Linked DNA regions of Drosophila melanogaster. The protein of the gene in region 2 interacts with the protein of the main gene of each other region in a pairwise test. Each region holds a gene or a part of one and is shown on either strand. Other genes may lie near its edges. The genes, in order: CG4069 and CG3088.

Region 1 (16,213 bases), 2.9 Mb from region 2:
GTTTGGGCCACCTGGGCAATCGTCGCCTTAGCATTGTCACTGAACACAATCGTTCCGTGGCCATTCGCCTCGAAGTAAACACCAATGTCGTACTCCAAGGCCTTGTGGTGCAGGTGCTTCACGCCCGTGGGTACGCACGAAACGGGAAACTTCAGCTGGTCCACTATGTAGTCCGTGGATGCACCATTGGCGTAGGCAGTTTGCACCAGGCCCAGCCGTAGGCTAATCTCGGATTGTGTGACCAGTTCCATGAGATAGCCGGCGATTAGGGTGGCTATGCGATCGCCATCGAGCAGATGGAACTCACCCTTGTCGTCGGTAAAGAAGTACACCACCCGATCGGCATCGCCATCCACGCTGACGCATCTCGTGTACGGCTTCACATCCTCGGGCATGGATTTCGGCGGACTTTGCTGCACCTTCACGTAGTCGGCGCCGCAGTCCTCGTTGATCTTGCCGACACCGATGCCCTGATTAATGACCGTCACGTTGAGGGTGCCCTTCATGCGCTTGATGAACTGCAGCATCTTGCGCGCACCCACACCGTTGGCACCATCGTAGATGATGCTATTGCGATAGTTGCCGTTCTCCAGGCGCCCGTTGCGCAGCAGTTCGAATGCCTTGATCAGCTTGTCGTAGTAACCCTCCTCGGTGGGCTTGCCGTATGCCTCCTTGGTATTCGCCGCCACCACGAAGTAGTGCAGCATGGGTGTGGTCACAATGCCGTACTCCTTGACGTTACCCTTTAGCGCTATCACGCCATCGGCCACCGCTTTCAGCAGCCGCGGACTGTGGTATCTGTTGTCCATGCCCACAAACACCTGGGAACTGGTCGTCACATCGATATTGTTGTCCTTTATGATCTTGGCCACCTGCTGCTCCAGCTCCTGGTCGCTGACGTTGACCAGATCGGTGGCTATCGCCTCCCAGCTGGCCTCCAGCATCTCGCCCTTGGGATCGACCAGCTTCACTCCGTTGTCCGGCTCCGGATTGTGCGATGCCGTGATCATCACACCGATGACGGAGCCTCCGCGATACCGGGAACGCAGGGTGGCCAGAACGCCCATGCGGAACATCACGCTGTCCAGGAACTCAGCCCTAAAAAAAAAATGCGGAGTTATTACATCAGGATTTTGTTTAGATACAAAAGTATCTTTTAGCTTGTATTTTGGAGTTGGAAAATGTTTTGTACCTAATGTTGTTTGTTTATATGTGTGTTATCACTTTAGCTATCTATTTTATCTTCGCTGGATTGATAAGCCTATAGAAGCACTGTGTATTGCTCATTTTAGGCGTTGCAATTGCTTTTATCAGTAGGTGTGTCATGGAAACTTTGTTATCTGGCTGTAAAGTGGTTAGAAAATAAGGGCGCGGAAACCACAAACTATGTAATCAAATACTTAGTTGGTTCATTTTTCACAAATAACAAGTTATTAATCATTGAGATTTGAAAATATTGCAACTTGCACATGTGGCACTAGTTCGCTGCCCGCGACTGTGCGTCAGTATGTATGCACATATGCACATGCACGCACACTTACGCACATACAGGCAGACATAACGGCGAAAGAAGGGCATGTCCATTGATAAAAGGTGAACAATATCTAAAAATAAACGCCAAATTCCAACATCACAGCCCTGCAACCGCCCATTTATCAAAAAAAAAAAAAAACCACCAACAATCGCCGTGTGCTAATCAAATGCGCCAACGTGTGCATCGTGTGGGTGTGTTAGCATAATGATTATGATGATTATTAAGATCGTTAATGGAGGCAACTACTCACTTGCCGCGAAAGCCAGCTGTTCCATATTGGATGGTCTCCTTGGAGGTCTTTGGGTACATCTCGCGGGCGAAGGCGTAGACGGTGCGCAGGTTAATAGACATCTTGCGATACTCGAGGGCGGTGCCACTGGTCCAGAGCGAGGTGAAAGGTTCCGTCCGGTTTTTCCGGACTTTCGAAATTTAACAATTCCACAGATGTGTGCAGGCGGGTGTGACCGTCGTTTCGCGGCACTGTTCCACCCTTGCTTATGCGGCCAAGCGGTCACACTGCGCTGAAACTTGTAACTACGCTATTTTCTTTAATTTCAAACATTTTACTGGCTTTATAAACAATACAGAGTGTTTTAAGGTTAAATGCAATATTTACCAGCGTAAATTTCAATAACATCTATGTTTCAAAGCGATGTTAGCGCACATATTCAATTTGAATTTGGCGGCTACAATTGCGGTCAAGATATTAGGATTCTTCAAATGATACTAATTCAAAATAAGCAAAATAACTCCTTTATCTAGTTATTTTATTTGTATACTTACATAAGCGGTTGTAAAAGATTCGGCTTACATCTCCTAGGTACATTTTTTGGACGGTCTTAGTTGGTATGTACACAAACAAATACTATAATAAGGCACAGGACTTTATAAATTATAAACTATAGCCTTCAACAGATATTTTTCGGCTAGTTAGAGTTTCATTTTCGGACGGAAGGGATTTCACATTTAACTTAATCATATTTGGAATGTAAAAATGTTGATATGTTTTCTCTTTGTGCTAGAGATGCTTGTAGAATTCTGAAATCTAAGTGAGTCTAGTGGCTTAGAGCATTGCAACCAGCGAACCCACGAGGAGCAGGCCCACGGATAATGCCAACTGGGAGGCACCAGCATAGCAGTCGGTGATGCGGCGTGCTCGCATAAAATCGCTGCCCAAATAGGCATCATACCTGCGCTTATTGGGCGGAATTACTTGCAGCTGCCGCGTGGCGTCCTGGAAGATCAGATCATAGTGCCCGATCGGCGAGGAGAACATGCTGAAACTGAAGGCGTCCACTTCCTTGCGACCGTACAGTTGTTGGGCATAGGTCAGCAGATTGATGTAGGCATTCATCTGGGTCTCGTTGTAGTTGACTCCGCCGCGGGTGACCACAGCATTGGCCTTAACCTTGCCCAGATTGCAGCGCTTGTAGTCCTGGATCTCGGCACGAGTACCATCCGTGCAGAGCAGCTCAAAGTCATCGTTTAGGGCATTCCTGGCCCACCATTCCTTGCGTTTGCCGCCCGTGCTTTCCATCACCGTGGTGTGCTTCATGAAGGCCACGTGACCGCCGCCCTCGACGAGGCAACGGAATGCACCCGTGTGCCCGTAGTATTCCTCGGAGGCATCGCGACGACAATAGCGATAGCTAGTTCCATGACACAGATCGCACATGCTGTCGTAGGGCACACCGGTGTTGTACTCATTGCTAATGGCACCCGGCACGCACGACTTGGTGAAGTACTCCGCGGCAGCTCGAACCGAATCGCATCCGTAGGGACGAATCCAGCCGTTCGAGATGAAAAGCGCCATCGGATATGTCCAGCCAGCGGCGGTGTTAATGCCCGTATGGCAGGTATTCTTACCCTTCAGGTAAGTTAGCTCCGTATCGGGATCATCCTCCTTGGCCACGGCAACCACATAATACTCGGGCTCGCCCAGATTGTACACCTCCGACATGAAGGGCACCAGGTCGTAGTTGAGGCCACCAGTGTAGACATCGCCGGCATCGAAAACGGAGATGTCTGCTTTGCCCGCTTCGATGAACTGCATGCAGTTGATGTGGGAGTGCATTTTCTTGCAGATGAGTTCTGGTTTCAGGAGGTGAGCTTTCAAGGCAGTCTAAAAGTGTTTTTGTAAAGGATCATCAACTCATCTTGCTATCCATATATTCACTCTTCAACTCACCCTCATCTTGATGCATTTATCAAGCTCATTCTCCGAAGTCACGCAAAGCGTCATCGCTGGAACTGGACACTCACGGATGCCGTAGATAAAGTTAATGGCAGGGCCTAGGTACTTGGTAAATGACTGATCATCTTCGGGAATCACGGTTAGAGCGCGACTAGAATCCTGTCACAAAACAATTGAATGTTAAGTATGTATTTCGGATCACGGAAAATATGATCCACTTACCTGGAACAGCAAATTTGGCTTGCCATAGCGCTTCGACTCGAAGATGCGGAACTTCTCATAGAGTATGGAAGTGTTCGTGCCGTCCTGCTGGTTTCTTTCCTCTGCAAAACTGCTGTCCAATCGTTCGCTGCGATACTGATCGTATTGATTCTGCGTTCTGTACGGATCATTATTATCGAACTGGCCATAGGCATTCTGATCGTTGATGTTGTTGCGGCTGTTGAAGCTTTGTCCTCCCTGCCTGCTCTGATCATCACGTGTGCCATCGGAGTACAGCTCGGCAATGCGCTTCAAAAACTGCTGATACTGCTTGCGATCGCTGAAGCTGCGAGCCGAAGATGTGACAATGGCATCGGCGGGCACTTGGCCCCAATTACACTGGCGATAATCGTTGATGGAGGCACGACGACCATCACGACACAGCAGCTCAAAAGTGTCGGGTGCTATGTTCTCTAAAAAACGCAGCTTAGATCAGTAATGGGTTTTCAGAAGTTTCCCTTTGGTAACTCACTGAATTCGGTGGTTTGCAGCATTTCATTCACAGTCGAATGGCGCAAGAAGGCAACATCTCCTTTTTCAAGCAGACATTTGAAGGCGCCTTCGTAGCCGAAGTAGGGATCTGCAGATGAGCAGCGTCCTCCGGGTATCTTTCCAGTGCAAAGCGTACAAAGTCTGGTTTGAAAATTGATTTGTTGTTAGTTAATGTGTGTAAAATTGTGGCTTTTATGCGTCATTACTTATCGGAGTTGTCGCCAATTGGATTGTGTTTGTCGGAAAGCGAGTACACAGCACACGAATTATTGAAATAGCTGGCGGCCGTCTTCACCTGGTTGTTGCAGTCCACCACTTCCATGCCGCCCTCCCTTTGGAGCTGCAAAACGATAAAATTTGTTTGTTAGTTGCCTAATGAAACAAATAAACAATCAACTTAAAAGAGGAGTTCTACTCACCGTGTGAATGGGCACAATCCAACCGGCCAAGCTGCCCACCCAGGGGAAGCACACCCTCTTGTTGCGCATGTCGCGCAGATTGTTCAAGTCTGGTAGAGATCCCTTCTTGATCACGGCTACGGATTGATAGTCCGCAAAGCCGCCCTCCAGTTTCTCCTGCATAATGGGTATGAGGGAGTTGTACCGTCCAGCAGTGAAGACATCGCCCGCATCCAGCGTGGTGATGTGTGCCTTCTCGCGATCAATGTGATGGATGCACTCATCCGCACTGTAGGCCATGAAGCAGGTGAGATTGAGGAACACCTCGTCGAATAGTGCCCGATCCCGCTCGATGGCCACCGTAAGGTTCTGGCATTTGTACTGCTCCGCCTGGCTCTTGGTGCACCACACCATCCGTGTGGTCTTGTGCTCATCGTAGTGATGTTGTGCTGCAAAATCGTGGTTTTAACTCATGCCAACGCCCTAGAAATGGGCGACTTTCGTATTCCAGCCGCAACTTACCGTTAGCGAGCGTAAAACATAAGGCGCCGACTAGAGCCACAAAAACGAGGCTGCTAGCCATATTCGGGATATAAGAATATTAATAAGTGTATTAACTAAAAAGATCTATCTGCAAAAACAATTACTCAAACAAAACACCACACCCAAGCCCAGCTCAAGGAAGCCAGTGTAACCAGAGCGGGCAGAAATAGACATGATTTCAAAAAATACCAACAGGTACACACAGTGGAGAATGCTTAAGTGAGATATGAATCAAGAAACATATTTAGCATTCAGGATATTTCTAGTTTAATCTATACCTATATCTATTTTTATTATATATACAGTAATCTTGTTTATTTATATTTTACTTTCTATCAGGTTATCTCTTCTGTAGTATTTACTGCACTTCACCGGTGACCACAGTAGTGTGACCACACACTTGGCGTTTTCTAGCATCTTACGGTCAACCAGGTGTTTTGTGTTTTATAATAACAAACCGAAAAGTCAGCTAAAATATTCCATATTTTAGCTAAATGGCAGTCCTGCGTGGTTGGAGATTCGTTGGATTCGTGTCCTGCATCGTGGGCGCCGTGGGCCTCACCCTATACCCCGTCATTGTGGACCCCATGGTTAACACTGAGAAATACAAAACCCTGCAGGAATACAGCAAAATCAAGAGAGATGAACTGCAGCACATTAAAAGGCAGTAGAACCCCCTGTTATGCTACACTTAAGAACCCAAATATGTGTATTCTAGTTTGCCTGATAAAGAACTGCAATGTACAAATTGCTATTAAAATAGAAACTATTTGTACCCTGACAGCATGAACTCCATGAATTAAACTGTTACCTATACATGCAGGAAAATCCAAATGATTGTGCTTGAATGTTTATACTCTCATTGTTTTAAATAGTAAACCTAACGTAAAAGGCAATTCAAAACATTAATTTTGATTGCACTTGGATTCCGGAACTGGTTCCCCTTGCCGGTGCATCGAAAGCTTTAGGGGATTTCTCACCACTGCGTTGCCGCTTGTAAAATTCTTTATCTCGAATCATACGTGGACATAAATATCTGGATATTAAACACCTGCTGATTTACCACAAAATTTAAATGCAAAATGACCACCGCCGCATTGAAGCGTGATGAAATCCTGCTGCTCTTCGACGTGGACGGCACGTTAACGATGCCCAGATCCGTGGTCACTCCGGAGTTCGAGGAGTTCTTCTACTCGCGGGTTAAGCCGAGGGCGACCATCGGAATCGTCGGAGGCTCGGATCTGGAGAAGATGTTCGAGCAGCTGAATGGCAGGAAGATACTCAACGAGTTCGACTTCATATTCCCGGAAAATGGGCTGGTGCAGATTGAGGGCGGAAAGGAGGTGGGAAAGCAGAATATCATCATGCATTTGGGCGAGGAGACGGTGAAGCGTTTCATCAACTTTGTGCTGCGCTATCTGTCCGAACTGGATGTGCCCATCAAGAGGGGCACCTTTATCGAATTCCGGAATGGCATGATGAACGTTTGTCCCATTGGCAGGCAGTGCACTCGGGAGGAGCGCAACATGTTCGCCGAGTACGACATTGAGCACAAGGTGCGCGAGAAAATGATCAAGGACCTGAAGCAGGAGTTTGCCGATGTGGATCTCACGTACTCGATTGGTGGTCAGATCAGCTTCGATGTCTTCCCGCATGGTTGGGACAAGACCTACTGCCTGCGACACATCGAAGCGCACTACAAGTTCAAGGAAATCCACTTCTTTGGCGATAAAACGGAGCCGGGCGGCAATGACTATGAGATCTATAGCGATCCTCGAACCATCAGCCATAGGGTATATACTCCCAAGGATACGCAACGCATTCTCACCGAGATTCTGGAGCTGTGAGAATTTCGAGCTTACTCAGCAGTTGAAAATATTCCATTTTTATACATGTGTACAATTGTTAACCAAATTTAATATATAGTCACTGGAAATTCTTAATCCGTGTCCATGTCCGAGCTGCTGCTGGAGATATCCTCCTCGCTGCCACTGCACTCCTCGTCGGAGCTGCTGCTGTCGCTATCCTCCCATTCGTGGCCCTTCAAGCTATTGGGGATTAGCACCTTCCATTCCAGTTTGTGCAAGTCCAGGGCGTAGAAATCGTTGTAGGTCAACTGCTTGTCGTCCTCTTCGAAGATGCCACCGAAAATATACAGCGTTCCCTTGCACACGCACATGCCGGGATTCATGCGCGGAGATGGCACATTCGTCGGCTTGGGTTTGGCGAATAGGCTGGGTATTTTGGACACGAATGGCGTGGTACTGGTACTGGGACCGCCAACGGTGACCGTGAAAATGCCATCCGTGGTGGTGGTCACTGGCTTATCAACAGCCGACATCTCCACATCTTTGCTCTCCTCCGAATCCTTTTTCTCAGCGCTGCTGCTTTTAGTTTGGATCTCCTGCAATCTCCATGTTTGGGAGGTCAAATCGAAGGCCAGGAGATCATCGCCGAACTGTCCGTGCACATCTTCGTCGTCCTCATCGACGTCCATAACGCCACCGAAGGTATAGGCCTTGCCATTCGCAGCCACAGTGCAGCCGACGCTGCTACGCGGCTTGGGCTTATATCCACCTGGTTTCACGGGTGCCCACTTGTACTTGTTGTCTGCATCGCCGGCGTTTTCTGAACGGAAACAGGAGATATTAATATAAGTAATATAAATCAGAGATTCTAAATCTTACTATCTTGACTCAAGACAAACATATCCGTGTGTGTTACTCCTCTGTCCGCCTCCTTCTTCATGGCGGCCCTCGAGTAACCGCCCCACACGTAGATCTTTCCCTCCGGAGAAGCTGCAATACAGCAACCGGAACGTGGAGATGGCACAATTGCACCTCCTATCTCCGCTTTAAGCCACTGATAGGATTCCAAAGAGAAGATGTGAACATCATTGAAGTAATGATACGACTGATTGTTGTCGTGAAAGCCACCGAAGATGAACAGGCGTTTCTTGGAGACGGTCATTCGATGTCCGCTCCGAGGACTTGGTCCATTGGGCGCAGCTATCCTCTCCCATTTGCGGGATTTCAGTGCGAACTTCCAGAGATCCTTGTAGTGATGGAACTGCAGCTGTGAGGGACTGGCATGCTCGCCACCAAACATCTGTAGAGTGCATATGGTAATTAACTTTTCACGGAGATCTCTTTAGCTGATAACTTACCCAGAGTTCTCCTCCATTGCTGGCCACAGCCACCATTTGGTGTCCACTTCTGGGCGTGGGTCCCGATGGCGATTTCAGCTGCCTCCACTCGACGGTTTTGGTGTTGTAAAAGAACAAATCGTTATACACTGTGGTTTTTGTGCCAGTGTACAGTTCGCCGCCAAACATGATGAGCTCCTCCTTTTCCGGATGGCAAACTAAGGTGAAATTGGATCGTGGAGTTGGTGGCGGGCAAACGGATTCACTGATGGCTTCAATCTTGCCCTCCTTGGCCTCCAGCAATTGGATGATATCAGCTATATTTGCCTGTGAAGTTTATTATTCGTTTAGTAAACATAATGTTATGGTTATTGCATTTTTTTGTTCGTACTTCTCCCAGTTTTTCCAGCATTTTCTTCTGCCGCGCCGCCTGCTTTTTGTCCGTTTTCATGGCCGTTTTCTCGGCCCCTTTGCCCTTCTTCTTGTTTTTGTCCTTTTTGCCCATGTCAAGTGTTTTATTTCAGCTCAAAAATTTAAATCAACAAACTTTTTTTGCCGCACGTGTAGCGTTTATAAATAAGAGAAGAGGAAGAGCTGTCTTCTAGTTTACCATATTTTCAGTATTTTCGACGGTATTATGAGAAATGTCTTAACGGTTATTTTTGAAAAGTGCGCGCGCAACGAAAAAATTTAAATTCTGAATTTTTTGCTCAAAATATTGAGATTTGGATATTTAAAAATAAATTCGGGTAAATTTGTATTATGAGTAATAACAAATAAAATATCAATACAATTAATTCATAAATGCATTAAAAAGCATACAAGCTTTATTTTCGATTAAAAAATACACATATTAAATGAAACATTATATTGGATGTCCCTAGAAAAGGGCACAAAATAGGAAATAACAAATGTTGGATACTTTTAAGATACAAACTTTTAGATACAAACACAAGAAAATGTAACGTCTAAATAATGGTCAATGCTTAAAGTATATATATTAGTTAATTGAAAAACAAATACTTTCACGATTCCATGGTCAATGTTAAAAGTTGTATGGTGGTATGTAGACTGTGCTAACAACAATATTCAGGTAATTAGGATTGCGAAGGATTGCTGCTCGAGGAACCGCGACAATTGACCGACCAGGTTGAGTCGAATCCGCAGGCGGAGTCCGAGTCGGAGTCCACGGCGAAGGATGCGGCGATCCCCTTGGGAGCACGCAACTGATTCGGGGTCGTAGGCATGCTGCTATAGCCACCATTCAGATTCGAGCTGGAGTTCGAGGAGCAGATGGAATCACGCGGCGAATCGGTGGTATTCGATGCATAGGACGAACGCTTCGAGGACTTATTCCGCTTGCTGATATACTCCACCGCCTTGGGCGGCGGCATTAGGTCCTCCGATCGATGCGGTATATTGTCCGCCGATCCCCACGACTTGTGCACCCCATCGTAGATGTTCCGGCTATTGGGCACACTCGCCCTCGACGGAAGGCCGCCGTTCGTGGCATAGGGTGTGCTCATCGCTGCCCTCTGATTCGGATGGCGACTCCGTGTCGTACCAACGTGGTGATGATGACGCTGATGAGGGGCTCGGTGAGATCGAGGGTGATGGCGATTTGCTGCTACCGCCGACCCGCCATTGCCATAGCCCGTCGGCGCCACCCCACTGCCATTGCCCACTCCCAAGAAGTTGCTGAACGCCTCGGTGGTCTTCTTTACCCGGACATTCAGAGAACCAATCCGTAGGAAGCCCAAATCTTTTTCGACTGCAATGGAAAAATATTATACTTAGTCATAAAATTTCATTTGCATTTAAGAGTGACTTACTTGCATGCTTTTTGCGAGCCTTGATTTCTGCAAAGTGGACAAAACAAAGAAATTTCATTAATATTTATTCATTTTTTTATATTAATCAATATTCAAATGAACGTGCATAAACTGAAAAATATTGCCTTTGGTTAGCGGACTTTTTGGAAACAATTATAAAATAATGCGAGCGATGAGCATAAACATTGAAAATAATACAAAGAAAACTTACCAAATTGGCAACGCAAACGGGAAATGCAACTCAAATGCTAGCAAAATATAACTAAAATACAAGTTTTAAAGCTACCAAAGTACAAAAAGCAAATAATATATATATATATATACAGGCTAAATATATAAAAGCTAATGTGGCTAATTCAACGTAAAGCTAGCAAAATAAATTGAACATCGCACAAAATCAACACTAAGGGTTTTGAAATACTCAAGATCGTTAGATCTCAACCTGCCTCCACGTTCCGTTGAGTCCGCCGCTGAATCGCATCGCTTGTATCTCTACATGCAGCAAAATCGAAAATAGATAGATAGATAGATAGATTGGATCCCATTTACTGACATTAATTACTGAGTCGATTTGGGGTTTGTATGCTCTACATTTCAGTAAGTTTGATGGATGTTTGCAAACGAGGGTAAATTATTATTATCTCCCAAAGCGCATTCTCTTTGTAAACTTAGTTAATTTTTTTTAGGATTATAGTACTTATTTATAAATTAATGCTTTTGTTTTTAAGGGGCCAGTAGTTTATTGTGTTTTTCCTTGCGATACACATGCGATTATTTATAAATATTTATGTACACAAAAGTGTGATTGCTTACATTAAGTTAATACACCTTGGTAAAAAAATATATACTATATTAAGGCCATGCTTTGGTACTTAAAAGCTAGTAAAGTTTAGTGATTATACAAAATTTCATAGATATGTAGATACCGATACCGGATCAGTTACAGTTTAAAAGTATATAGAATGTATAATATAGTACAGCCCCAACCAATTGTTGTAACATTGTTTTGACATACATATAAGTAGTATACATTAGCGCAATGTTTAGGATAGATTTTAGGATAGCAATTAACCGTGCTCCGGTGGGTTAGTAAATACATCTTTGGCCAACGGCCGACGGCTGCCACCTGCGGTGGCTCGAAAGGTCTTGCGCAGGAAGCTCTCCTTGCGACGCGTGCTGGCGCCACGGAATGGCACCGGCTGCCCCTCCATTTCGCATGGCAACAGATCACCGTCCTCGGTGGCGGGCTTAAAGATCCCCGAGATCGGCTGACCCGGCTGCTTCTTGGGCCGCCGACTGACCGTCATCGATTGGGAGCGGGAAACGGCACCACCGACGCCGCCAAGCGAACCACCGCTGATGGTGGCAAACCGATTCTGGGCCCGCTTCTTGCCCCGTGTTAGTGCACTGCCCAGTGTACCGCCGGTGATCTGACTACTCTCAATGAAGCCCAGCGTGCGGAAGCTGTTGCCCACATCCGCACCGAAGAAATACTTTGCATACTCACTGCTGCACGTCGATGCCGAGACGCTCGACCGCTGGCGACTGTAGTCCAGTGGCTTGTTGCCGCTCCAGTCCATGATGTCCCGATTGGCCTCTGCAGGATGGACAACAACAAATAATTCAGTTCATTTTGCAACTCTTAAGTAAATGAAAGCAGTAAAGTTTATAAATAGCACATGAGCAAGTCAATTTAAAAGTTCAAAGTATTTATAAGTTTCAAAGGATTTCGAGCAATATAATAAGCATTTAAAATTATGAATAAATATTTATTAATTTTTATGACCTTTTGCTTGCTTAAATGTGGTATTTTGGTTGTAGTAATAATATTAGTACTCACTGTAGACATTCCAGAGTAATTCAAAGATATTATCCCTACCAAACTGGGTAGCCAAATGGAGAGGAGTGTATCCCTGAATAAAAGTAATAATAATAATAGTAGTAAATCAAAAAATGCAAGTAAATAGTTTATAAAATTCTTAAAAATATTCTAGTAACCTAGACTTTTGTAGGAATCACAAATCAAGCTATTTATAGAGTTAAATCGCTCTAAATTTCAATGTAAATTATAAAATCCCAAACTAAATAGTTCATAAAATACTTTAAAATATTCTAGTAACTATTCATTTTGTAGGAATTAAAATTCAAGCTGCTGAAAGAGTTAAATTCTCTAAATTCCCATGTGAATTATCAAATGCGTGTTTTGCCATTTTGGGATTTGTGTTTTTTTCTTGGGGCAAGAGGCGCATCGAATCCTGCGGATTGTGATTGACAATTCACTTTGTTTTTGAAATGTGGCTGTGACATTTGAATACAATTGAGTGAGTTTAATTTCGCCGGAACAAAGCGACGTTCAATTTAAAATTTTGTAAACTCGAAAGGATTGCGTTGCCCGGGAGGAAGGTGACATGCTGGTGAGGCCCAATTGGATATGCTCGTCATGATTTGTCACAGCCTGCTCTATCCGAAATGCAGAATTCCTGCGGGAAAGGGTTATGTTTCGAGTCGCGATTCGGTGACATATGACGCCGATTCACGCGCGACTGGGACAAGCCAATAAGTTGGCTCTCGTATATATTATTAAAATGGCCAAAATAGATGTACACATCACATGACACACACACATACTCACCCCGTTCTGTAGCGAAGTCAACAGTTGGCGCAGGCGATCACATGGAAATAATGGGGCATTTTAATATCATGAAGTTTACACGTCTGCATCTTAGATAATCGCTTACCGTTCTCGCATTCACATCCGCCTTGTAGGTGCCGGCAATTAGTTTAACCACATCCTCGTTTCCGTGCTTCGCTGCCCAGTGTAGAGCGGTCTGAAAATGGAATTAGTAGGGGATTAGTATGTCTGTCTAGGGGAATTTTTCAAATTTCATGATAATGATGCGCAGGCAGCAGACCAAATTCAAAGCAACCACTAAACTAAATCTAAAACTAAGTAATGTGACATTATTAACATATTTTAGTTATTTAAAGCATATAGAAGTGTATTATTCTATTTTAAATATTTATATATGGATATTCGGCAGTAGAGTATGCATATAATAATGTAAATTACATAATAAATCGTTTGAAATTGAATTACATTGGAATTATAGTGTCCTACTTATTTAACTTATCACATAATATAGAGTATCGCTGACTCAAGGTAGCATTTTGTTTTAAGCCATTTAAATCCATCTTACTTATTGCTAGTTACATTTAGCTGATTGCTAGCTGCCCTTTTTTTTTGAGTTTTCACAGATATTTGTTGAGGGATTAATTGTGAACACGCCATCTGAACGGTAGTCGGCGTCCCAATCGCGACGCAGATGCCCCACTTCTGGAACTATTTGTACCGCCATCAATTGGTCCCTGGACCGCCGAACTCGGCATCGTACCCGCGGACAGGGACACGGACGAGGTTGAGGTTGAGGACTCGACCCAGCTGCCGTATCCGAGATTCAGCGATATAAATAAATTGGCCAGCCACCGCCGAATGCCTGTTGCCTCAATTATTTTCATGTTAACATAATAATTTAGTATGGCAAAACGATTCGCTCGGCAGCGATAAGCCATTTGCTGGCTGACTGGCTGGCTGGCTGGCTGGGACGGAACTGTAGCCGAAGCTGGAGCATCTTGGCCGCGCAGATCTTGGCCAGATCCCGCCAGCACCAGTGCATCTCCATCTCGGCGCGCGGCGGTGCATGTCTGATTTTCTATAGAATTGTTTGCCGCCGCACTGCAGCCCACGTACATGTATGTATACATACATATATCCACCATGTGTTGACAATGAAGACGGTCACTTTCCTGACTTTCTGGACTTACTGGACAAACGCGACAAACGCGAGGATCGAAAGATCGGAAGATCGCAAACGGGAACGGCCCAAGAACAAATAGAGTTTCAGATCTTCAGTCAATTCCCATAGTCTGGCCGATGCTGGCGATCGGTATGTAATTCTTTTCAAGGGAAATTTGTTTCGTGTCTCCCGTTTAAGAAGCTCCACATCCACATCCAGCTCCATCTCCATCTTCCAGCTCCCAGCTCCCGCCGCTGACGTAGTTATTGCTGTCGATGCATCTTAATCTGCCCAGGCTGGCATTTAATCTCGTCCATTGTCTTTCGACCACAACCAATGATCACGGCCAGGAGCTGCAAGCTGGGAATCGCGAACTGGGCATCTGGTAATCTCAGCGAGAAGCTGGCAGATGGGGCAGCGGGAGCAGCGTTGGAATGTGTATATAATTTGGTTACAGTGCTACTCTGCCGACTCTCCTCTCTATTCAATTAGCGCATTTTTTTAGCGCATTAGATAAGGCGAATTAAATTCTCAAACGATGCGACAATGGTGGCAAAAAATGAATTGAGTTTGCTCAGCGAAAACAATAAAGCAATCAGCATTTGCTGCTATCTCGATTGATTTCTATTGGATTAGCCTTGGCATATCTTTCGATTCGATGTGAAAAGGGTTTCTAAGTTATTTTCTAACTCATAAAATGTGATGAAATATTTCATTAATATTTATTACACTTTATACTATTAATTTATGAAAAAAATGCCTTTACTTTCTGGCAACGTAAATGAAATCCTAAATAAATGAAGAATTGACAAGATAGTTTATGATACTATTTACTAGCTAATCGATAGATATTTCCTTTAGATAATTAATTGATGTTGGTATTTGCAGTTGCAGTTGCTATTCCCGCAATTATTAGAAAATAGAATTTATAACCAAGCTGTCTTCATCTTTCCCCGCCTGCGTTTAATTATAAAAGGGCCGAGATTCGCATCGAAGTTGGCATTGTCCGTGGATTATCGCCTTGTTAGCCAACTGGATGGCAGATGCTGAAAGGTTTTTTGCAGCGACCGGTTTGGGCCGGGCTTACAAATCGTCTCACGCGCACTTCGCCGGGCTGCGGAGCGATTTTAGCCATTTCGGAAAGTTGCCGCTACAGTGTCTGAGTTTGAGTTTCAGTTTCTTGAGCCTTTGCCTTTTTACATATGGCACGTTGTCCGTCTGCACGTTTAAATTTATTGTCCATTCCATTAATGGTGGCAAGGGACAGGAATTTTGTGTCTTTGAAAGTGAAATGCCATAAATTCTTGTGTCTCGTTCAGCTTTGGCATTGTATTGGCACACCGCAAGCAAACAGAGCGATTTGCCTCGCCGCCGGATCCTCCACACCGCCAACCAACGAACCACTGCATCGTCGTGGATTTAGATTCGCATTCGGATGCGGAATCCTTCCTGCCCTCGCATCCCATCGCATCGCATACCCAAAGTGGCCAGAAATTCCAGCTGCGAAGATTCCAATACCTAGGTCGTGCGACATTTAACCGTGTTTGCCCTGATCCGTTATTGCTTCATGATCATAAAAGGATGTTTGCGAATATCTCACACGGTTAGCAGTTTGAAAAGCCTTCTTAAGGACTATCTCAAGGTGGCTAAGAACAGCATTTTCCAAGGGTGATGTTGCTTTATCTCACGACTGGTTTATTCGAAATATTTTAGAGGATCGCTTAAACTTAAGTTTATATAGCTAAATCTCTAACATTCCAATCTGTTCCAATTCTTACTTGCCCAAAAGTACTTATGATTTCGAAAGGCACTTTAAAACTAGATATGAAATATTTGTAGATTTATGTAGGAAGAGCTTTTATTCTTAGGCTAATTCATAGTTATGATAGTATACTGGTATTTAGATATATAATTTGCAAGTTGATCGATTAAATTGTTATGTATAATTATATTGCAAAAACATAGTAATACTTACATACTGCATTCCGCAACATTCATTGGGCATATGAAATATAAAAAA
Region 2 (15,279 bases):
ATGAGCCAGGTGCAGAGGACCACCTGGGCCAGGCACACCACCAAATAGGAGCAGGGCTTCGAAACGCCCAGTGGACCAGGTCATAGGTTAAAGGATACGAAAAGTGGAAGTGGGCGTGCATGAGGAACGAGTGAATGAGTGGGTGCAACAGTATTAATTTAGGAGAAATGGAAGCCTACTTTAGTTTTGCATTTTAGGTGTCCTAGCAGAACGCATCGCTGGCGTTTAGTGTGCCAATTATTTGCCCAGCTCAACGTCCGTTTAAGTGTAATATATCTATGTAATGTATATCTATTTAGCAATATCTTCTAGCTCAAAACTGTGCCAAAGTCGAAAGTTTATAATACTCGAAAGTTTGGTTAGCTTCCGGGCCAGCAGCGATAAACCTTAAGTAAAAGTATTTGTGAAACATAATCTTAGCATATCAGCAACGAAGAAACTTACTCAAGTTCGCAATAATCGTTTGAAAGTATTTTCTCTCCCCTAAATGAAAAACTATATCTATACACCTAGTGATTAAGCTAATGAGTCTAGTCTAAACTGATTAAATTCGATACTGTTATTTTTGTAAATTGTTGTATTTTAATTCAATTCATGCGTGACCCGCATAATCTTTATTCGCAAAAATGCAATAATCATGGGGAATGCATTAATTAGTTGCCAGGCTGAAAAGTTATGTGTAAATTACAATTTCAAATATTCATTTGAATATGGAATATAGGCGGCAAAAATGAACGGCAAACAACCAGAAATAATAATAAAAATCGCATAATTATGTAAAAACCCTTGGCACTTGTTTCCAGTCGTTTATATGTATATTCATACTCTATATACTGTCGTTAATAATTGAAAGTTAACGCCAGACTGGGCAATTTCCCTAATGACTTTTCCGACACAAAAACATGCAGCACACTTTTAAGCGCATTAAGCATCCGCCCCGTGGGACGGTCAGTGTATGAATTTCCCTCCCTGGATAAATGAAAAACGATGCCGTGGCCCAAGGAACAGAAGCAAAAACAAGTGTCGCCATTTTTCACTCTACACTCGGCAGTTGGCATTCGTTGAGTTTCTTCCGAGTTTTTTTCTCTTTCCCAGTTGCCTACGGATTTCGCTGGTGGGCAGCAATTTGCGCACATAACTCATTTGCATAAATTTACACACTGACTTTAACGTATTTGCCCCACCACGCTTAACGCTACCACACCCACCGATTTTCCATTTCCCATTTCCCGCAGCTATCCTCAACGGCGAAAGTGGCCCGATGGTTCCAACAACTACCCTGGCACACCGCATCCTTGTCCCGTCCGGAGAGCGGCTTCGTTTCCGGCGATTCGCGTTCGGAGAAGTATCAGGAGGATCATTTCTACGGCGGCATCGCAAAGGAGACGGATGATTTATGCGATGAGTTCCTGCTGGTGGAGGGCAGCAGCACCATTTGGACAAAGCTGAGCGCCAAAAAGCGTCGTAAATTGCTCGGCATGCGGCTGGGCAAAGTGACAACGTTCTGAGGAGGTCCTTGTTCACATCATCGTCCTCGGATTCACGTAATGTGTGCGTTTATTAGCTGTTAAGTGAGTTTTTAGCATAGCCCTAAGTGTAGCTTTGATAAATTTCTGCATAGGCATAGCTAGCTAGTATGAAAACCAATAGACTAAAGGACCAAATTAACCCAAACGAAGCGAAACGAAACAAAACGGAACGTAACGGAACGACATGCTCATTGAGATGCCATGCAACAGGCATAGGACATAAGTCAATTAGTGAGCATAAAACGTAAGCTCAATGTGTATTTAAGTATTAACTGAATAGAAGTATTTGGGCCAGTAAGGAAACACGGTGAGAATCTTGTGGCCAATTCATTAGGCGAACAAGCCACGCACATTAATCATACGTCACGTAGCCAACCATACACACCTACTGCCAAAAGCCAAAAGAGCATTAACTTGACCAACTTTTCGTGTACGAGAAAAACTGGTTATTAAGCTAAGCAAACAAGGGCCAGTACCACAGCAGCAGATTCAACAGAAAAGGCGGTGAAAACGGGGAAAAACAGAATGCGCAGGAAGGAGCTTTTCCGGTGCACCCCGTACCAAAAAGATCAAATGTTTGATATTCATAAATTTCAGCCAGCTCCACCGTTTTTATGCATAAATCGATTCTACTTTTACGCTTGGCAGTCCCTTCCTTGCCCGTTTTTTTCCCGTTTTTTATTTGGGTAACTCTATAAATTTAAGTCAGCTGCTGAGGGAAAATGCAAACCGAACTTGCGGCATACGCGGCGTATAAGCAATTTACTCAAAATTTATGAGGATTTGTTGGCTATAAAAAGCGGGGTTCGTAGGGTAGCTAGACACATACTACTTAGGTGGGTAGCTGCAAAGGTGTTGTACTGATTGCACTTCACCCTTGATGGGTTAAGTTAGGGATAGTATAGCCAGTTAGGGATAGTTGAATATGCAGAGATATCTGCGAAACACTGACAATCATGGGGGTGAACGAAATTCTGCAATTTAAATTTGAGTGAAGCTAAAGCCGGCCAAATGGTTTTCAATCATCATCAAACTCGGTCGAGTTTTTATTGCATTATTTGGTAGCTCTTTCGTTTATTGCGCGGCATTACAATGAAAACTCGATTTTCCTAACGGTTTTATGACATTTTCGCAATTTAGGTACGAAATTTATAAATGTCAGAACAAAAACACAAATTAATTTACGTAAAATGGTTTTAGTTAATTTATGCAAAACGATTTTTGAGACTGAAACTGAAATTTGTACTAAGCATAAAAACAGGACACAGAAACACACGAACACTTCACACATCACACATACTCGTACATCCATTCATGCATTTCGCAAACAATTGCGACAAATAGGAAAAGTTTTTATAAGCTACTTTAGCCTAGCCTTTAACCAAGTTGAATAAATATAAGTTGCTCTGGTTCAACGCAATAGAATAAAGTGAAAATAATAAAAATTAAATGCAACATGCTGGGCAACATGTCCTTATTCAGGTCCTGCCACTTCCAATGCCGCCGCTGCTGCTGACACTTTACAGTTCAATTAATTTAACGCGCTTTGCATGTAATAGAAAGGCATTGCATATCAGCGGGGCCAGCAGACAAGGATGTGCCAGGACATGGCGCCGGAGGAGCCCAGTTCGCAGCAGGAGGGCTTGGCTCGTATGGAACGGCTGTGCCGACTAACAAGCGCATTCTGGCCAAGTGGCCGGGGCGCGGAGGAGATATCATCTACGCAAACTAGCATGGGCTCGACTTGGCAATACCCCCCACTGGGATAAACATATATTCCCAGCTTTCGTAGGTATTTATGGTTAGTTGTACTTCGAAGAGAACAGTCGTTGGTAATGTCAAGTCATTCATTGCTGGGAATTGATGAAGCTTAAGATAATATCAAGATTAAAAATAATAAATGTATAAATAAAATAGCAATTAAACTTTTTATTGAGTAGGAAAAAGACTCATCCTACCAATTACGGAGTAACACAATTAGAAAACAAAGTGAAGGCACCTTTTGTGCGCTCATAATTAAGGACACTAAGGACACAACGCAGCGCACTAATGGAAGGCGCAAAAATGTATGAAAATGAAAAGTGAAAGTATAAGTCAAAATGAAAAATGGCCTTTTTTTCCCCGCTCACATGGCGAATGCGACATGCGATATTTTGTGTTTTCGGGGCCGAGCTGTTGACACTTTTTGGGGCAGCGGCAGACATAATTACACAGAGGTAGGCCGCGATGTGACCCTGAAAGCAGGAAGTTCACTTTGTGTCATGTGACAGCCAGGAGAAGCAGTTGAAAGTGCCGCGTGTCCTGTCCAACGTCATCGTCATCCTGTGGCCAAACTAGCAGGACTCGCTGGACTCGCTGGAGTCAGAGAAACGGACACCGCACACTCACATGGCACATTCATTGTCACTTATCGCGTGGGTGGCGCGTTTAATTCACATTTTATTTCCAGCGCCCGTGGCTGCGCGCGTAATTGTTGCTTCAAAGTCCTGGCCAGGACACGGATGTAGTCAGTCCGCGTTGGCGCTGCACGGCGGTCGTGTGTGCGCGGTGAATAATCGCGATTCGCAACGTGAGTGTGCGCTCCTTTTTGGCCATGCAGAACGACGAGGAACCAGCAGCTGCAGCCGGAACTTCGGGGCTAAGCAATGGAGAATCCTTGCGGAGTCCACCGGCCCCGGCTCCACGACGACCCAAGCCAGGTATCCTGCGACTGGACATCGGCAAACCGCGACGCTCATCAGGTGGTTCCGTCGATTTCCGATGCGTGGGCAGCAGCAGCAGCAATGGGAACACCAGCAACGTGGCCACTGGCGCCAACAGTGAGGTAAGTGAGCATGATTTACGGCCCATTCGGGAGTGCTTACGATTTGGCCTGACCAACAACGACGACACGGTCTACGGAATGGCTATATCCGAGAGCGGACCAGGAGGATAGGTGGGAACAGCAAGTGCCGCTGCCACAGCCAATAGCCATAAACACCAATCGCACTTAACTGGCTTTCGCTTCTGGCCGGGTTAAGCAATGCAGCTCGACCCGGTTGGCTGTTAAAATCATTTTGTTTTACAACCATCGGTGGACAGGTGGAGCTATTCTTAGGTCAATGCAGAAGTTTCGCTTGACAGGCTTAGTAAAACTTAGAACTTAGAATTTTTCGAGCATTGGTTTTGAGGCTCTTAAAAATGAATTTTCAATTTAACTGCATTAAAAATTCTGTACATTTGCATAATTTAAGTACTGTCTCTCTTTTGCTTAACCAAGCCTCGACTCTTATCTCCTCTAAGTTGTAAACATTGCTAATGAACTGAACGCATATCATGTGTGGTTTTCCTGGTCTAACTTTAAAGCTCATTAGTATAATTTGGCAAACTCACTCTACATATGCATGCAAAATCTCAGATCACCGGAGGTCTCTACTTTATGGTAGTTAATAAACAAGTTAAATCACTTGGCTACTTAGGCAGCAGGTAGCACAGCAAATAGCACAGCCAACTTCACATTGCCACACAAGGGTATCCCAGTGTTCATTAGGCCAGACATGCGACATTGGCCAAAACCGAGTGGATGCGGATGGGCACACCCTGGACTCGGGGCTCGGTCAGTGGAGGAAGCGGGAAATTGGGGATGGGATCGGTCGAGTGGGGCAAACATTTATTTAGTCATAAAGCTGATGCGTAATCTCAACAAGCCAGGCCATTCCAAGTGGGTCAGAAGTTTGTCAGTTCGCACGTTCGAGTTGGTTTGGTTGCTTCGACTACACACACAAAATTCGTCCCCACACCCCAAACACAGAGAAACAAAAAAAGTTGAGAAAATGTCGCAGCTGAACGCGGAGACCCAGCAGAGGCACTTCATCACGCGCAGCAGTTATGAGGGCGCCTGGGATAGATTGGTGAATGTGATGGACGGATTTGGAAGCTACCGCTATCCGGATGGGAGCGAGTATCGAGGAAGGTTCCATCAGGGTCAGTTCCATGGCTATGGCCATTTGCGACTCGCCCAGCCGTACCGCTTTACGGTTAAGGGTGAGTTCGAGCATGGTCGCCTGGTGACAGTGGAGGACATGTGGTTTTCCGACGGTCTGCATGTGGATGGCAGATTTAATGGCATGGTCTTGCAGTGCGATGAATGGGATTACCTGACGCCCAAGGATCGGCGTTATCATGCCGAGCGTCGTTATGGCCAACAGCCGGTTGGCCCCACTGCCTTTCTTACATCGAAAATGCAACCCAGAAATATTCCCGAACATTGCTATGATGTGGAGGAGGGTCTGTTCAATAGTAAGACCTGCTGGTTGACGGACCGTCCGAGTCCGCTCCATCAATTCATGTACGTGAGCTGCCCGCAAGATAAGGATTGGATTAAGAAGAATTGCAGGAAGGCGAGAACATCGCGTATAATTGAGCCACCATCCGACTTCTGTCGCCGCATTATAGCCAACAATTTGGCAACGGAACGAGCACAGTTGCGAAGCACGGCCATATATGCACCCAATGGACAAGTGGATCGGGAGCGATACTTCCACAAGTTGACCAAAAAACGTGGACAGCCGAATGAGCCGCTGGAGAACATTCCAAGGCGTCCCATGCCCGTCGACGATCCCGCCTGGGAGACGGAGATGTGTGTGCGTGCCTATGCTGGGATGTTGGATAAACAGCAGAAGGATCAAATGGAGTTCAAGCGCGTGCATCCTTGCGCCAAAATGGAGACGGTGAAGAGACCACGCCGATGGTCGAGCACCTCAGATGTACGCAATCCGCAGTCGGGTGGACCCTCCAGCTGCCAGACGGACAGCTTTGGCGAGGATGAACTGGTCCTAAACTTTGAGGAATCATACCGCTCGGCCAACAACATGATGAGGAAACGGACGGCGGATAACATAAATGTGGTGCAATCTAATCTAATACGCCGCAATAGCTACATGGACATGACCCGGTCCATATTCGAGTTGTAGATCCGCCGATCAATGTCTTTATATATGTTTTTTTCAATTTAAAATTTAAGCTTAAGAGCTCGGAGAGAAAATGAATGCAATTACTTTGTAATCTGAAAAATAAAATTCAACGTTTTTAAAGTTTCTTAGAATACTCGTAGTATTTGTTAATAGTTTAATGGTCAGTAGGATCATATTCATTTTAAGTATATTTTGCATTAGTATTCAGTACAACCCACCGGACTTTGCTGTATATTAGCCAATTTTTTTTTAAAGTAGAAAAGACCTTATAAGCAATAAAATATCTATGCAGGTATTGGACATTTTTTATTAAATGTTGCTACTATTTGACCCATTAGTAGGCGATTCCAGTCCTTTGATGGATCCAATCCAGTGCGCTGGTGATCCTAGCAAATCCAGCGGGCAATCCCAAGGTGCACCCGTTGGAGGCCACAAATGCGGAAATGCCCACCACGGTGGAATCCTGTTTGGTGATCAGGGGGCTGCCGGCATCGCCAAAGCAAGTGGATCTGCCGCTGGGCGTACGGGTGCACAGGATCTGATCGGAGACGGTGGTGGATCCGTAGAAGGCGATACACTCGTTATTGGACATTATCTGAAGGTCGACGCATTGCAGCGCATCGGTGAGTCCATTGCTGAAGGTGGTCACTCCCCATCCACAGACATTTGCCCACCAGTTCTCGTAGCGCTGGGATCGATTTCTCAGTGATGGAAGGGCCACCCGGTTGACCCGGTTGCTGAATCCGACTCGAGGAACTCGAACCAGGGCGAGATGTTGATTACCCGTAACGTACTCACTAGTTCCCACTGTCACCGTAAACTGGGCCTGACTCAGCCGGGTGGCTCCAAAGTAGATGGTCACTCCGGAACTGCCCGTTAGACACTGAGCGGATGTAAGGATCCAGGTGTCGCCTATAATAGTGCCACTGCACCAGATGTTGCTCTGTCCAAAGGCCATGCCCACCACATAGGGTGCCTGACCTTCATAAGCGGGGCTTCCATTGGTTATAATGTGATCAGGATCCTCGGAATCCTTCTTAGCACTTCCTGCTGCGACGAGAGTGAGACCCAAGAAAACTACCAATAGCTTCATGATTTCAAGCGAAGGTTGTTACTGCCTAGTTAAACTGACGAGTTTATATAGATATTCACTGGGTAATTAGCGAACATTAGTGAAATTTCTTTGATTATCTTGAGGGGCGTTACTCATTTAAGTTATAATTATTTAAGTAAATTGCCATTAGTGGCATCATATTAGTTCGGCAAAACTTGTTATCTCAAATAATATATAGTAAATTATTTGAACACCCATTTCAACGAACATTTACTCAACTTTAAAATTGTTATTTTTGGTATACAGTGTAAATAAGCTTTCTAAAAATCATGGAGCAGAAGACAACAAAATCTTCAAGCATTACCCAGGTTGATATTCTGTTGACTGGATCCAGATACGTTGGTCCCAGTGATGAGTTGGGCATGCAGGAGATGGGTGTCTACATTTATCCGGATGGGACATGCTACACGGGAGAGTTTCTCAACAATCGTTTCCACGGAAAAGGCACCATACAAATTCCTGATTCCTTGGGCGTTACCTATCAAGTAACCCATCACAATGGCAGACTGGTCTCGATCGATCAGGTTAACTTCAATGATAGTCTGCCCGTCGACTTTGAGATGAAGGATCATTACACGATGAGTTTCAAACCCTGGACGTATTGCACGCCGGAGGATCGCCGATTCTACCAGGAAACCAAGGAGCCTATGGATGCCGTCGGTCCGAATAAGTTCCAGTCCAAGGACGGACCAAATCCGCTCAACCTGGGTCGCAATATTTTCGATCTGGGCTTCGGACTGCTGGGCAATCGTGGCTTCATGTTGGATACAAAGACGTTTAGCAACCAGAGTATATATCTAGGATGTCGGGAGGCTCGTCGCTGGATCCGAGAGAACTGTGCCCATGGACCACTCAGCAAGCGTCACCACAAACAGAAGTTATTGGCCCGTTTTGCCCGTGAGATCATCCGGAACAATCAGGAGAATGCAGGCTGCAGCCAAAGGGAGTTCATGACCAAAATCCATCCTTGTAAGCACTCCACCAGCTTGGATAGCTTCGCTTCGGAGCGTCTCCATCTGGCCAGCACTACGGATTCCACGACGTCGGAGGCTCAGGCCATGGGTTTGCGTCATGAGGAGTTCCATGGCAATTGGACAAGAGCGAAGAGCGAGAGCAGCGTGTGTCGCATCAACTGATTGATCCTTTGAATTTTTTGTTACTTTCGCTTCTACTTTTCGATGTGGCCTTAAATTAATATATTGTAAATCGTTGGTTGACCCACATTCTGTGACCAACGCCTCCATGTTAGGAGCTCTAGATTTATGGCCAAGTCGCGAAAACTGCAGGCGAACATGGAAATCCACTTAGGCCTAAAGGTGTGTGCTTTCCTTTTCTTTTTCTTTTTTACTAGGTCATCGGGTCCATGGCGGCATTGAACCTTTGGCTCAAATGTTACCTTAAACCTGGAAAATTGTAAACATTTAGGCCTAGGCCACCGGCACAGCGGGTAATGAACCCATAATCGCCGAACATTATTGCTACACGTGCACGGGGGCGTAAAGATAAATTTGATGTTAATTAAAGCCGGCCGAGAAATCCATTTAATTAAAAGGAACGAAAGTGAAATCAGAGAAAGTGAAAGGCAAAACACAGAGAACACAGTGGAGAGCGCCAAAACATATATTTCAATAGTGGGCGCTCCCCCAGAAAAGCACACAAGCTAACACACACACACCGGAAAATGGGGGAAACAGGCAAGAGGATAAAGTCCGGGAAAAACCTAGAATTTCGCGATTTTCTTTATCAACCCTTGCATGTTTGATTTTCATTTACATGGCCGGGCCAAGAATACAAGGTGACTCAATATCACATACACACAAGCGCCATCTAAATGGACATTCGAAGTCCTGGCTGGTTACGCCCGGATACGGCGTTGTTATCACATGCCGTTGGCAATTTTTACACTCATTCGTCTTCGTTCCAACAGGGCGAGGAAGTCAGCCACTCGGACCCGGACTCCCGATCCCCTTCAGCCACCTAGTCGCAATGTCCTGCCGCATGTCCATGTAAATTCCTTTAGAGTGTGTGCGCTTGTGTGGGTTTTGGGCACGTTTTGGCTTTGATAAGTTGCCCATCGTGCGGGGCGGGGCGGGGGGTGTTGGTGGTTCGTTCTTCATTCATATTCATTCATTATTAGAAAAATTTAAGTTTCACCTGTCTGTGTGAGGTGCCTTCGTGGTCGCCGTCCCTTTGGATGATGGTCATTTTGTGCCTTGGTAGCCCTGCCAGCCAGCTAAGCCGTTCAGTCTGCGCACAAGGCTGCTCCAAAGCGCTTCGGCTTATAACTGGCTAAATCGGGAGCAAAAAGTGCTAGCTTGTCCATTAAAGGGATTTTCTTTGAGGGCACTAGAAGAGATGTAACACATAAATTGCACAGCAGTGAAATTAATAAATAAGCACTTAACAGCGAAGGTCATTCCGCACGCAAAGAGTACCAGTGTGATTTGAGTAATTAGCTGTCCCGGAACAGCACTTGAAAATTAGTTGAGTTAAGCTGCTGCCCATCCATTCGTAGAACAACTCGGGAGTCACATCGCCTCATCAACTCTCTGTGACCTGGGCACCGCCATGCGACTTGGATAGAGGTGGCTGGCAAATGCAGAGCAGCGCCGATGCCAAGAGGGAATTCTACAAAGGACAGCGAGGCAGGAGGTGAGTCCTTTAAAGGGATACCTTGGACCATCACTATCTCGGTCTCTGCGTTTCTATTAACTTCCTTTAAAGAGCTGCGTCACAGGAGGACCACAGATCCTACGAACTGAACGGTGCGTAACGTATATCTGGTTAAATATATATAATAGCTAGCAAACCAAACTATAGTTTTTTATTAGTTGTTATATACGCTTGTTTAGGTATTTTATTTAAACATTTAATATTTAATAAGTTAAATATCTTTATTTGTTTCTAGCATTATTGATTCTATAAATTACCAACAATTTTTTTTTTTAATATTTTGCATTAAATTTTGTTATCTAAATAAAAGCATTTAAACATTTTGGTTAGCAGTTTTAATGCAGAGTAATCTTTTCTGTCTGTGTTTAATATAAAGTAACCAACTAATGACCAAACACCACTGCCACTCCAGATTTCCCATTGCAAAACCAGAGCAGCGACGCCGAGAGTTGCCACCAGGAGCCTCACTTTGCCCACCAGCGTTCGCCTGGAATCGGATTCGACGAGGATGGCGGCGGTGGCGACATTGACGATGAGGAGAGCTACACAATTTCCGTATCGGCAATAATGCAGAGACGTGCCAGTGTGCGCGGCTATCGGGGCAAACGCGGCAGCCGGAGTTCGCGACGTGCATCCAGTCCCATGGATCACGTTCTGGACAGTGTGGAGCGACGACGCTCCAGTGTCTATACGACAAGTTCAGGCAAGTCTGTGGTCCGTGGCCCATAAGTGTCCAGAGCAGATTTCGTTTAGTTAACGAGCGGACTGCTCCCCGGTCCTTCTCGGTCATCCTCAAGTGGCAAGCTAATCAACGTCTGGGGGCCTGTTTTCTGTAATTTTTCATGCTACGTGCGGACCGTTTTGATGGCGTGGCATACGGGGCGTATGTGTAATCTGTTTGCCTTGCTTTGACTTTCGTTTTACTTTGCAGAGGAGGGCACCAATCAGGAGTCAACGCAAGAGCAAATCTTTGAGAACATCCGCCTGCACAAGGAGGTCATACAGTCGGTGAAGCTACAGCCATGGCCCATCCGCAAGAAGCTCAAGTTGGTGCGGCAGGTGGGTATCCATGGTTTTCAGATGGGAGTGGAATTGAATGGGGGATTTGCCCAAAAACTGGGCGCGTTCGTTTTCACGCCGCTTGTCAGGTCGTTGAAAATGTTACGACCGCCTATCCTTCCTTCCTTGCAAACCTCACCGAACACTCATCAAATGCTGAGCCAAACTTTTCGATTTCATTCTTTATCTCCCATCTTTCGCTACACCCTGGAATTTTTAATGATGTTTGGACTTTGCGGATCCTGCGGCTCCTTGTATGTGTTGACAGGCCAAAACATATGTGGCACGCCACGAGGGCGCGCTCCAGGAGCGCTTCGCCATGTCACGCAGCACCAGAGACTTGTGGGCGAGGTTTAAAATTTTAATGGCGGCAGTAAGTGATTTTGTAACCCCCTTCTTTATTATTATTTTTTTTTTTTTTGGAGGAAACGCCTGCAGAATGCGAAATGCAACGAGCACAAGGCGAAAGGCCCCCAAGCCATGCAAAAAAATATTAATGTTTACACAATTTATGGGCCACTTTCCGGTCGGGACGGACATTCAATAAATCCCCACTGTTCGCATAGTTCACCGAGCTATGTGAGCCCCATGGCATTCTCGCTGTGCTGGGAGACCAATTAAAATGCGAACTTGCCGACTGCCATTCCTTTCTAGAAATAAATCCTTTCTTGCATCCGACATTTTCTGCAGCGATGGCGACACTGGAAACGTGAGACGGCCAGCTTCCTTACCGTCCTCATTCCCTGGGAGCTGCGCATCAAGGAAATCGAATCACACTTCGGCTCCGGCGTAGCCTCCTACTTTACATTCCTGCGATGGCTTATGTGGGTCAATATCATGATTGCCATTCCGCTGGTCGCCTTCGTCATTGGCCCCGAGGTGAGTGTCCTCAGAAGTAGCCAATTCGTTTGCCACACACTTTACACACAATTATGTTTCCGCTTGGCTTTGTTCCAGTACTTTGCCACAAAGCACGGCGAAACGGATCCCAGGAAAAGGATGTCCGACCCGGAGGCTCGGGTGGCCGGCAATCTTTTCACGTTCTGGGAGTTCGAGGGATACCTGAAATATTCACCTATGTTTTATGGGTAAGCCAGACTGGTTTTTTGTTGGACAAGGGCTAAGCTTCCCTTTCAAGTCAGTCTGTTTAAAAATAAATCAATAATAATTCCTTTAATTCATTTGCCTTTTTAACATAACATAACTTTGGAAGAAAATTATGTTCTTATGTAAATATTTATTTGTTCATCTTAATTATAAATTAGTTATGAGAGCTCTATTAATTGCTGGCAATATCCCAATATCATCCCTCCTCTTGTTTTCCTATCCCCCAGATACTATTCAAGCACATCCGGCATTAGCACGTCCGGATATAAGCTTCCCTTAGCCTATTTCCTTACCGCCGTTCTGGTCTACATCTACAGCTTTGTGGCCACGTTGAGGAAGTGAGTATGGTGGGAGCACAAAGAAATAGGGGTCAAGGGGTCATGGGTATGGATATGGTTCCCAGTGTGTTGGGTAGGCACTTCATTAAATACTTGGTCATCGAAGCCGCAAAAAGTAAACTAAATGTCAGACTGCTCGTTAATTAATTAAACAAAACTAAAGCTCTGATTAAATAATACAAATCTTGGCCACGAGGCGTGTCTGGGGGTCTGAAAAAGTTTCGACGCCTCAAAATAATCAAAGGAGAAAGCATTGGCCATTATGATTTACGCACGCACACAACAGAGCACGTGCCTCGAAGGGGGCTGGCAGTGAGGGGCGGGACAGGAAACGGAAACGGCAAAACGCCATTTTGAGCATTGGGCGTCTGACACGCTTTAATGGCTTTGTCGGCATTATGTTGATTTCGTAATTGAACAAAGCAGCAATGTCAACAGTGAGCAGCCGGCACTGGCCTTTCCATATAGCCACTTTTGCGGGTCACGTGCTCAACGTGCGTGGATTAATTCAATCGCAATGCTATACGGGATTCAAATTGTGGGAATTGCGGGTATTTCAGAACAAATTATGACTGAATTTCCACTTTTGATCCATCGACAGAATGGCGGAAAACTCGCGCAACTCAAAACTTTCCTCGAAGGACGACGAGTGCGTCTTCTCGTGGAAGCTCTTCACCGGCTGGGACTTTATGATTGGTAAGTGGCCGGCGTTGGTTCCGCAACGAGCTGCCATCATCACAAGTTTTGCATCTCCCACAGGACACGCGGAAACGGCGCACAATCGCATCGCATCCGTGGTCGTGGGCTTCAAGGAGGCACTGCTGGAGGAAGCGGAGAAAAAGAAGGATAATCGCAAGTAAGTCGCTGCCAAACTGAAGCTATTTACTTACCATAATCGATACGCCATGTCCTTTCAGCTGGCGGGTCATACTCCAGAGGATACTGGTCAATATACTGGTGATGGGGCTGCTGGGCTTGTCGGGCGCTACGGTCGTGCTGCTGGTTAATCAGTAAGTGGATTGGGGAAATGGCGATGAAATATGCACCGAAAAATACTGATTTAAATTCGTTGATAAATATTTATTTAAATGAGAAATTAAACATTTATATGAATTATTTCAAAATTGCTTTCTTCTGTAATTCTTTTTATTTACAGCTCTGAGGATTTGGCCAAGCATGACAACTGGCTGAGTCGCAATGCGGTGAACGTGACCATGACCCTGCTCTCCTTCTTCCTGCCCATGATATTCGAGGCACTGGGTCTGTTCGAGAACTGGCATCCCAGGCAGCAGCTGCGTTTGCAATTGGCTCGGTAATAAAAAAACCAGTGCTAATGATAAATAATTGTATATAACTGAAGCGCCCTCACTTTGCAGCATTATGATCCTGAACATGTTAAACTTGTACTCGCTGATGTTCTCCTTCATCTACAAGATCAACAGCAAGGAGAAACCGCTACAGATGTTGAAATTGGAGAACGAAACAAACACCATGGAGCTAAAGAATCTACTTAGTTCAATTGAGGCTCTGAGGGCCATGACACCCACGACATCGCTATATGGTGAAAGTACTTCGGATGGGCTATTCGATGACTCTACATCAACGGCAACTTGGGGTGAGGATGGTGGTGGCCTCTTTTCGACCACAGCGGCTGCTGCCTTAATCTCCACCACCGTGCAGCGTCTCAAGTGTTACAACATGACTGTAAAATGCTCAAAGCTGCGGCGCAACATCATCAGTGGCAAGCACTTGGCCACCACTCTGATGGTTCTCAACCTGACAACACCAGCCATGGTGCCACCAACTTTGCCAACCACATTGCCCACCACATTTCCCACCACATTGCCCACCACATTACCCACTACATTACCTACAGCATTGCCTACCACATTGCCCACCACATTGCCTACTACATTGCCCTCCACATTAGCCACCACAACGGCGACGACTTCAAGTATTTGGTCAACCACAGAGGAAACATCTCCGACAACTACAACGACATCACCTTGGACCACGTTACCGCCCTCGACAACAACCACTGAGGCAACCACAACGACTGAAAGAGCCACCACAACCACAGAAGCAACGAGCACAACCACACTGAAGATCACCACTGCCGAAATAAATAGTACACTATCAGATACTACAAAACCCCTGGGAAAATCTATTGATACTGAAATACCCAACTCAACAACGAATTCTGCCACTTTGAGCACAATACCAGCCACTTTAAACACCACTAATTTACCCCTGAACAGCACCACCAAACTAACTACAACCACATCCACGGAGAAGCCCCAGGGAGAGGATAACTTTATCTACACCACCGGAGAAGATGAGGGCTCCTACGATTATGGCAGTGATTCCACATCAGACGCTCCGGATAATAATAGCTACTCCGATATAACGGATTACTCTTCGGAACCGTCGGAAATTGAAGATTTCGATGAACAGGAAAGCACGGATCAGGCGGACGATCCACTGGCCAAAGTATTGGAGCAGCTCGA

Evidence for each region.
Region 1: the proteins of CG3088 (region 2) and CG4069 interact in a two-hybrid assay, tested with the Drosophila melanogaster proteins (one large-scale study listed by BioGRID).

What each region holds. Positions count from the first base shown.
Region 1 is NT_037436.4:12,528,151-12,544,363, forward strand, and holds CG4069 (uncharacterized protein), read right to left. Parts: upstream 9,166-16,213; 5' UTR 9,073-9,165; coding exon 8,959-9,072; intron 8,895-8,958; coding exon 8,589-8,894; intron 8,531-8,588; coding exon 8,110-8,530; intron 8,051-8,109; coding exon 7,362-8,050; 3' UTR 7,276-7,361; downstream 1-7,275. Other genes in the region: nst (nesthocker), read right to left, coding at 1-1,098, 1,785-1,885; Tsf2 (transferrin 2), read right to left, coding at 2,598-3,656, 3,723-3,887, 3,951-4,402, 4,462-4,622, 4,688-4,821, 4,901-5,328, 5,402-5,462; CG34242 (uncharacterized protein), read left to right, coding at 5,917-6,093; Pmm2 (phosphomannomutase type 2), read left to right, coding at 6,505-7,269; sowah (sosondowah), read right to left, coding at 9,665-10,338, 10,400-10,426, 11,472-11,996, 12,240-12,312, 13,032-13,037, 13,138-13,227, 16,169-16,171.
Region 2 is NT_037436.4:9,593,732-9,609,010, forward strand, and holds CG3088 (uncharacterized protein), read right to left. Parts: upstream 7,595-15,279; 5' UTR 7,575-7,594; coding exon 6,816-7,574; 3' UTR 6,759-6,815; downstream 1-6,758. Other genes in the region: CG42673 (uncharacterized protein), read left to right, coding at 1-48; Tmc (transmembrane channel-like), read left to right, coding at 4,123-4,353, 10,111-10,247, 10,320-10,360, 10,681-10,971, 11,200-11,327, 11,596-11,700, 12,018-12,206, 12,285-12,415 and 6 more; CG3222 (uncharacterized protein), read left to right, coding at 5,342-6,481; CG3306 (uncharacterized protein), read left to right, coding at 7,865-8,731.